Nothobranchius furzeri: one gene and its partner. The protein of the gene in region 1 purifies or fractionates together with the protein of each later gene. This does not show direct contact. Links are inferred from orthologs where the notes say so. Each region holds a gene or a part of one and is shown on either strand. Other genes may lie near its edges. The genes, in order: actin-related protein 2/3 complex subunit 1A and arpc3.

What was found.
Region 2: the proteins of actin-related protein 2/3 complex subunit 1A (region 1) and arpc3 purify together in Homo sapiens (affinity purification with mass spectrometry; 8 studies listed by BioGRID and IntAct, counting the BioPlex papers as one, with this or other methods). This does not show direct contact. The link is inferred for Nothobranchius furzeri from reciprocal best matches to the Homo sapiens genes ARPC1A and ARPC3.

Annotation. Positions count from the first base shown.
Region 1 is NC_091744.1:15,328,081-15,332,376, forward strand, and holds the start of actin-related protein 2/3 complex subunit 1A, read left to right. Parts: upstream 1-1,485; 5' UTR 1,486-1,782; intron 1,783-2,461; exon of another isoform or gene 2,462-2,464; 5' UTR 2,465-2,499; coding exon 2,500-2,563; intron 2,564-2,807; coding exon 2,808-2,912; intron 2,913-4,011; coding exon 4,012-4,234; intron 4,235-4,296. Other genes in the region: lipopolysaccharide-induced tumor necrosis factor-alpha factor homolog, read right to left, coding at 253-370, 473-647, 863-937, 1,068-1,110. UniProt on the Homo sapiens protein: Probably functions as a component of the Arp2/3 complex which is involved in regulation of actin polymerization and together with an activating nucleation-promoting factor (NPF) mediates the formation of branched actin networks.
Region 2 is NC_091746.1:47,862,131-47,866,440, reverse strand, and holds the start of arpc3 (actin-related protein 2/3 complex subunit 3), read right to left. Parts: upstream 2,905-4,310; 5' UTR 2,790-2,904; coding exon 2,784-2,789; intron 2,439-2,783; coding exon 2,339-2,438; intron 1,982-2,338; coding exon 1,905-1,981; intron 933-1,904; coding exon 864-932; intron 589-863; coding exon 462-588; intron 1-461. Other genes in the region: gpn3 (GPN-loop GTPase 3), read right to left, coding at 3,234-3,299, 3,394-3,522, 3,610-3,706, 3,835-3,950, 4,048-4,172, 4,298-4,310. UniProt on the Homo sapiens protein: Component of the Arp2/3 complex, a multiprotein complex that mediates actin polymerization upon stimulation by nucleation-promoting factor (NPF).

The DNA of each region.
Region 1 (4,296 bases):
GAACGGGGTGAGAAAATTGTTTTGAAAATAGACTGCAGTAACCGAATTTCACCACAAGATGTCAGTCTGACTGAGCTTTACATAATGCACCAAGAATTCAAGAAAACATAATAATTTGCACAAACACATTTATTCAATAGATATTTTACAAAATATGACTAAAAACTGGTGAAATATCTTACAATTGTGCATTACAGAACCTTTTTTGTCATTCATCTGAACAAATCTAGACTTTACCAAAGCAGAAAGCTTTCAGTGACAGCACTTCCTCTTCTCTATATGAAGAACTAGCAAGCAGTGAGGACATGTGTGGTGGGCATCTTTAAAGTGGTTTAGAAAAAATGGAATCAAGCAGCAGCCAAAAAACAACCTGTAAGAAAGCATTTGCAGACTTTTTACTGCCCATTCTGGGTTAATAGTTCCTGTAGGTGTATGAGATGACAATTAATACATTTGAGTACATCTTTCTCACCCACAAAAGACAAACAAGAGGCACACGAGCCAGGCGTAAGTCCCGACCTTAAAGGTGACCTCTGTGGTGACCTGTGTCTGACAGGAGGTGCACATCATTAGTGCTGGAGAGCCAAACAGCTTTGTTTTATAGCTCACAACCATTGGCCTGGGACCACGTGAAGGGATGTCCGAGACTTCAGAGATGACAAGAAGAGATTAAAATTAAAATCTGTGCTTCTGTTGTTGCCCATTAAGCAGAAGCTTTCTGCCCCCAAATAAGTAAAATAGTTTCCACCTACATTACTGAAATGGTGTAGTTTCAAAAGCAAACTTACATTTTGACACAAAGATCATTTAAAATGGCACAATATGGGTTCATGTTTAGACCTGGATGAAATTTAACGTGCACCTGGTAGAGGTGAGAAAACCGGAGGAGTTGGAGGGATGTAAGGCGGGTTTACATGGTAGATCCTCAGGTCTTGCTCTGGTAAAAGAGCATACATTTGTAAGTATCTTTAACTTTTAACAAAAAACTCTTTTCAGCTAAGAAAGCATGAGAATTAGGTTTTAAAATTACTATTAGTAGTAGTATTTTGTCTAGAGGGTTCTTTTACCTGATAGCAGGTGAAGTGGAGGTGGAGGAAGTGAATCATCCATGTTTAATGGCTCCACTTGTCAGCTTGATGAAGCACCACAGAGGAAGACAAGGTTCAAACTTGTATTGCTTTCATCTAGCAGCAGCTATCTGAAGACCTCCCAGGTGCTCTTAATTTAACTCTCCTCTGAATGGTTAAAAAGCCCATTACCCATGATTCAATGGAAGTAATGCCTTATAAAGAAATAATTTTTATTGTTATTTAAACAATAATCATTTATCATATTGATGCCTTTCCTATGGGGTGTAAATTTATTTTTGAAAAGTGCAATAACATTTATTAAATGAATTGGTCTTTTCCTGCTTTCACTCTGATGAATAATAGACTATAGAAGTAATACAACTCTTTAACCGCTAGAGGCGCTCTTACACACACTAGCTGTAGTTGTGAGACGCCGTCGTAAACGGCACCGTTCAGTTGAATGTAACATCTTAGCGTGATGATGCTAAGCTAGCTGTCAGCCAGGTATCCACGGGTTTAGCTGCCGAGCCGAGTTAGGTACCGGATGTTTCCGGTTCTATCTCACTGGCCGTCTTGACATTCCCTCTACATTCCTGGACGAATTCGTGTCGACTGACCAGAGTCCGCGAATTCAAGTCCATTCCTGATCTATAATCTCTTCCCGACAGTGTGGCTTAGCTTGCCGGCTAACTCGAAGAGCCAAACTGACGAGGTAAGTTAGCACCCGGGCTAGCGGGATGGAATTATGTAGAAAAGCGTCTCCTATGAGGAAACACCGAGGTCTGAAAACCGGGAACGCAGGCCTCCCGGTAAAGGTGTACATAGGAGTAAATCAGCATGTTTTTATCAAGCTGGCTTTCGAGCTTATATAACAATTTAAATATATATATATATATATATATATATATATATAGATTGTTGTACAACCTGGGATTTAAAATGATTAATATTTCGTTTGTGACGATTACAACCCGAGTGGGGCAGTCTACCCGGCTGTGGCTATGCTGCACTAGCTAGCTAACCGGGTTGACGTTTATTAGTAAAAGTGAACACCTCGCAATATACTGATTTAAAAATATAAGAATTGCTTGACGGTGCCTGGCTGATATTTCATTTACCACATTAATTTATACTCAGACCAGACCTCTTGGTTCTTTGACAGACTTAGGTTTAGCGGATGAATTCAAGCTATCTGCTATCAAGTATTAAACGAAATGAGGTGGCATAAAGTTACAGTTGTACAATTTGTCCCAGTTCGTAAGCATTTGGTGGTTTTCTGAGTGTGTGTGTTGTGTGTGAGAGAGATTCGATGCATTGCTAGTAGAGGCAAAGTTATGGTTAGGTCAGGAATGGCTATCGCTCGTTGCTAACTAAGTTTGTCTGTGACTCAGCAGCAGAGTTTACACTTAAGGACCACACCCAGACAAAGATGTCCCTTCACCAGTTTCTGTTGGAACCCATCACCTGCCACGCGTGGAACCGCGACAGGACACGTAAGGCTCAAGAATCACACCCACTTCAACACATGATTCAATTTCCGACAGTTGTCGCAAGAGACGTCAAATTACAAATAGAAATAATTTGTGAAAGAGTGGCCGCAGGTAAACAAAGGCAGTCTGGACGGACTTGTTTTTGGTGTTGAGCTGATAAAAGAATCCAGTCCAACTGGTTTGTCCTCTTCGTGGTCATCACAGCTCCTAAACTTGCTGGTTTGTTTTTCCCCCTTTTTGTCTCCAGAAATTGCTATCAGCCCTAACAACCATGAAGTTCATATCTACAAGAAGAGTGGGAACCAGTGGGTGAAGACCCATGAGCTGAAGGAGCACAACGGTCACATAACAGGTACGATTCAAGAGATCACCAAATTTAGCACGTGTGTTTTCGAAGGTGTGAAACACTGATTATTGTTTTTTTTTTTCTGTTTATAATCAGTCACTGTGAGTTTTTCCCTTCAGGCTAAGAATTAAAATAGTCTCCTACACCTATCTCCTGCATTAGCTTCTAAGAGAAAATAGTGAAACTTTAGGATTTGAAAAGCCTGACAGATCTACGTCACACTTTCACGTAACATTCTTAGACTCGCCCATCTTGACTCACGAAAGGGAAGGCTGTTGTTGGGTTAGCGTCCAGGAAACAGCAGAGAACATCATGACTAGAAGCTAACTGTTAGCATTAGCAGCACTGCCACAAACGAAAAACTCCTTCAGGCGAGTGTTATTTGTGGAGATAATGTATCCACGTTGCAAGTCAGCGGTAGGGTTTCATTGCTGTTATACAATTTGAGACAAGATGTCCAAAAATCAGAAATGAAGACTCAAAAACCTGCTGCCACTCTCTGCCGCAGCAGATTTGTCCAGGCTGATCCAAGCAATTCTAGGCTTTTTTTTTTTAGCTCTGAGTACAACTTGCAAGTCATTCGTTCCTGCCACTGCAAATGTATTGATTAAATCCAATATTGGATCATTTATTCAGCTTCTCAACTTCACATGTTTCTCCAGATTTTAGGTCTCAAACGTTTACTGTTGTTGAATAATTTACATTTTGCACCGATGTTAGAGAAACACTCTGCTGTTATAAGACAAATATCGTTAAAACCCTACAACAAAGCACACTTTTTTTTATGATATTGCCACCTGACTTGACCTGTTTTTTTGTTGTTGTCACACACATGGAAGCTTCCTTCAACTGTGCAGTGTTATTCGTTTAATCATTAGAAAATAAGGAGTGTGTAGTGAATGTCTGGATCAAGTCTCAATTTAACAAAATGCTAAACAAAAGCAACTGTGAGAGATGGCTAAATAGACAAGTGATTTTTGTCAAGTGAATGGGTCTAGTCTAGATGTAGACATCGTGCCTTGTTTGCTGTTCATGCTCTAATAGCATCACAGTCAAATGGCTTACAAAGTCTCACACTTGCCTCTGTTTTGTTTTTCTGTTGCAGGGATTGACTGGGCTCCCAAAAGTGACCGTATAGTGACATGCGGAGCGGACCGTAACGCCTACGTGTGGTCTCAGAAAGATGGGGTGTGGAAGCCCACGCTGGTCATCCTCAGGATCAACCGAGCAGCCACGTTCGTCAAGTGGTCTCCGCTGGAGAACAAGTTTGCAGTTGGCAGTGGAGCTCGACTCATCTCCGTGTGCTACTTTGAATCTGAAAACGATTGGTGAGGAAGGAATATCCTTAGATTTAGAATAACTGTTTTTGTTCTTCTGTGCTAGGTGCTAA
Region 2 (4,310 bases), on another chromosome or scaffold:
GACAATCCTTTTTATTGTGTGAGAAAAAAAGTGTAGAAATTAAAACGGACGTGTGTTAATGGGGAAACAGCTGGCGAGCCATGTTTGCGCATGCGCCGTGAGCGGTTCTGGTGCTGTTTGGGTCGCAGCCGCTCACATTTGTTTACTGTGAAGTGAAGTTGAAGTGCTGAAGTTCTGAAAACTAATTTTGAATAAAACTTGAATAACTGGTAATTGCTTGCTCATTTTAAGAGGCCGCTCATATTTTATAACAGGCTATTTGATATAATGGTTTACAAACACAAAAGAGTAATTTATTAGAGTACTCAATCGATAAGATTCGATAGAGTACTCAATTATAAAAATATTCGATAGCTGCAGCCCTAATCCAACCTTTATGCTTTTTTCTTCCTTCTAAAACAAGCTCAGACAGACAGAAGTACAGCTTTATGTTTAGTTGATCGTTTAATGCCATCGCTCACCTTCCTCCTGCTTGTTTGAGGGCTTCACATACATGGCATTAAGAGGGAAGCCAGGCTCTCCAGGGATGGGGAAATTTGTGATGCCTAGAGTGTACATCTCCTTCTCTCCTTGATTCCTGGAGCTGCACTGCAAGGATTAAAGCAAAAAATGTTCAGTGAAACCCATTTTACATGCCCTAGATTAGAAATGATTATAAATTAATAAATCACACATGTGCTTCTTTCTAGAAGCACACTTTATGCACCAAAACCCAGCTATTGAGCTCTCTGGTTTCCAGGCCCGACTGAGACGCTTCTACTTTCAAACAAGCATTTTAAATGCTACCACTAAACATTTTCACCCATCGAATACAACAGCTGTTAACACTGTACACTTTAATGATACAGATGTTATAAACTCACCTTCTGTAGCTTCTTCAGACACTCAGAAATGTAGAGTGTGATGTAGATCAGGGTCCTGTCTGCCTCATTCTGAAAAAAATATAACGCACTTTTAAGTGATTTAGTTTAAAGCAGTCATGTTTCCCTACAGCATTAATGCTAATGTTACAAAAGGCTTAAATCCAGGGCAGCTATGATGAAGAAACCGTGTTGAGTGGAGTGGAAGAAGCGAGCCCCAACATGTGATGGAATACGAAGTGCATAGCTGCTCTGAGACGGAAGGTGGGAAAGACAGAACATGCACAAAGGCAAGTTTTTATTTAAACATCTTTTATCTGATGAACTCCAGGTGAATTTTACAAGCAATTATAATCTGAAAAATCTTAAAACAAGCTTATGAAATCTCTTTGTAAATATTTTATGTTCTAGATAAAAACACCATGCATAAAAAGTTTGTGATTTTTAATAGGGGTAAACTCATATTTACAATGTTTTAATACATAAATCTTTATAATCCAATATACTTCTTTAGTAGCACTGATTTGAGAACAGGCACATCCACGGGCAGCCTGGTGCAGCTGCCAAATTTTATATAAATTTATATTTATGTTTCTGAAAAGACACCTGTTCAAAAAATGCTCTCAATTTTAGGTTGACATAATTTTTTTTGTTAATGTCTTGCTATCTACCCACACCATCTTTAAGATCGACTGGTAGACCGCAATAAATGTACTGAACACCCCTGCTCTAAAACATTACTGTCACTCCACCAGTTTTACATTTTAAACGATCAGATTATTGGTTTGTTTGTTAGATTAACTTTTAATAAATCATTGTTTTAACAAAAACCAGTGCACAAAATTAATATTCAACTGTTGGGTATATTCAGAGTTCAAAAACTGGTTCAGGTTCAGAAAAGATTTGCAGTAACTGTTATTAGTGACATTTTAGCATGCTGATAAGGTGAAAAATATCTAGATATCAGCCAGAAAAACTGGCTGATCATGACTCCTACATATGAGCATCGGTAAGAACGCACACCGGCCGACCTTTAATTCTTACCTTGATTTCATAATTCTTAAAGAAGACGTTGGCTTTGAAGTAGTAGATCGCTTCTTCAATAATATCAGAATCTAGCCCTGCAAGTTTAAAAAGAAAAAAGAAAATTTTCAATACAGACCAATGCCCTGAGTGTAAAATGTCATGTTTAGTTCATTTGTGTCTTCATTGTTTGTACAAAAGAATTTTGGTGGTTGGTTGAAACAAATCATACATCTTGTTGCAAATAATACATGCATGGGTTCCAGAAATAACAACATAGGTTGATGATGCATTCTTCAGCCCATATAAGGAAGTGAAGCTGACTCGTTTGAGGAACTGAATGACAGCCAAAACTCTGCACAGAACTGGTCAAGTTCTTGACATTTTCATGCATCTGTTACCCGGAAACAGAACGCGTTAGTGGAGACAATTACAGAATTATGATGCTTACTTACCGTCTCCTCTGGCTGGTCCTTTAAATTGAGTTTTAACGGGGAGCAAGGCCATGTTCCCCACTAGCCTTGTATCGGGGATCATCAAGCTTGAATGATACGCCTAAATAAAATCCAGAAAAAAGCAGCTGTCAGATCTGTTCAGATTCTATACGGCGATAGCGCTAGCGACGACCGTACGTTTCACTCATTTACATTCAAGAAGCTAGGGATAATTTCATGATAAACTTAATATCCTCAAAAGGAACATTTAGTGGAATATTGACAATTTTAAGTAATTTTACGAGTAGGTTTCTACCGAATGCTAACGAGCCTAGCTAACTATGCCACAGATGTCCGTCTTCACAGCTAACGTAAAATAAAGACAGTTTCATGACACAATTCTGGCTTCATAAATCAATAAAAACAAATAGCTGTCGTCAACAGCTATCGCAAAGTATATACTCACCGGCATGTTGAATGAAAGATATCAATCCAACTGCTCAGCAAGACAAATATCCGTGCACCCCCAGACGCTGCTTCCGCCTTTCCCACCCTGTAGCTTTACCGGAAGTGAACACGTGTCGTGTGACATAGCGGCCACTGGGGGGTGCTGAAAACAATCTCGTCACAGAAAAGTGCACATTGTGTAATGTTTTATTTAAAAAATATAACATTAGTACATCTATTTAACAACACTTCAGGTTTTTATTTTTAATTTGTCAAATGAAAATAAATCTTGAGTTGTATAAATAATAAAAACAGAAAATAATATTTTAAACATAAAAGACTAGTCCAAAGTCAGTTTTATTTAGCTATTGTCCATTTCCTCTTTTGATATGAAGCTCTCCAGCTGAACTTCATCTAAAACCTGCATGCACATGCTGTTTTCCCAGCTGACACACGATCACAATACTCTTCAACAGACAACTTTGTTTTGAAACAGCTCATCGTAGTTTAAATTTGCTGGTTCTTCATCAACTTCCTGATGGAGAAGAAAACCATATTTTATTTAGTTTTAATAAATAATAAAGATTTGCATTATAATTAGATTTGTGTTAATATGGTTGTTTCTTCACCTTAGGCTCCTTGAATTCCAGGTCCTCTCCATACTGAATGGAAAAGTCGATGTGCTGCATGACTATGTTAATGCCTTCCTCATCTGTGCGGTCAAAAGGCAAGAATCTGACCATACTGTAGTCATCTATCTATATATAAAAATAAAATAAAAAACAGAAAAAATATGTCAGTTTACCATTAAAAAATGTTTCTAAATCTAATAAATGACATCATACCAAACCACAAATAGCTTTGGTAAGCTTCTTGAACTTTTGGCTTCTGAAAGTGTCAGAATTATCCTCCATCATAGAGTACATGTCGGGGTCCAGGTACCTTGTAAAAATACACAACTGCCTTAAAGATTTACCAATTATAAACAGTTTATGGAAAGCAAAACTGATGTTGCATGTTAACTTCTCTGGCACTACATACTTTTTTTGCTTTAACCATGCAAAACTTACTTTTCTATTTCTTTCTTTGCTTTGGGGCTGAGCAGATCCATCTTTGTCATGACGTTTACTTGAGGAATTTCTAATGACACCATGGCACTCAGGGCAGCCATGACCCCAGATATAAACTACAGTTGAAACACGTAAAAGATGAGCGCACCTTAGTTTAAAACAACTTGCGCTAAAGAAAATGACACAAACATAAAAGAACAGATATATGGTTACCTTAAATGACTCCACCATGAACTGTGAGTCGACTAAAAACACCCCACACACCCGAAACTCCCACTGCTGGAGCTGCTCCACCAGTTGTCTCATCACAGGGACGTGTGTGTAAAGTTCAATCTGACCTGTTTAAAGTAAAAACAACACAAAGCTTCAAACTTATGTAATTTAAAAAGGACTTACCTTTAGATCAATTAGACCAAACTTAACAGCCAATACTAAAGTTATGTTTGTTAAACAGATTACTCACCTGGGCAGTCAAA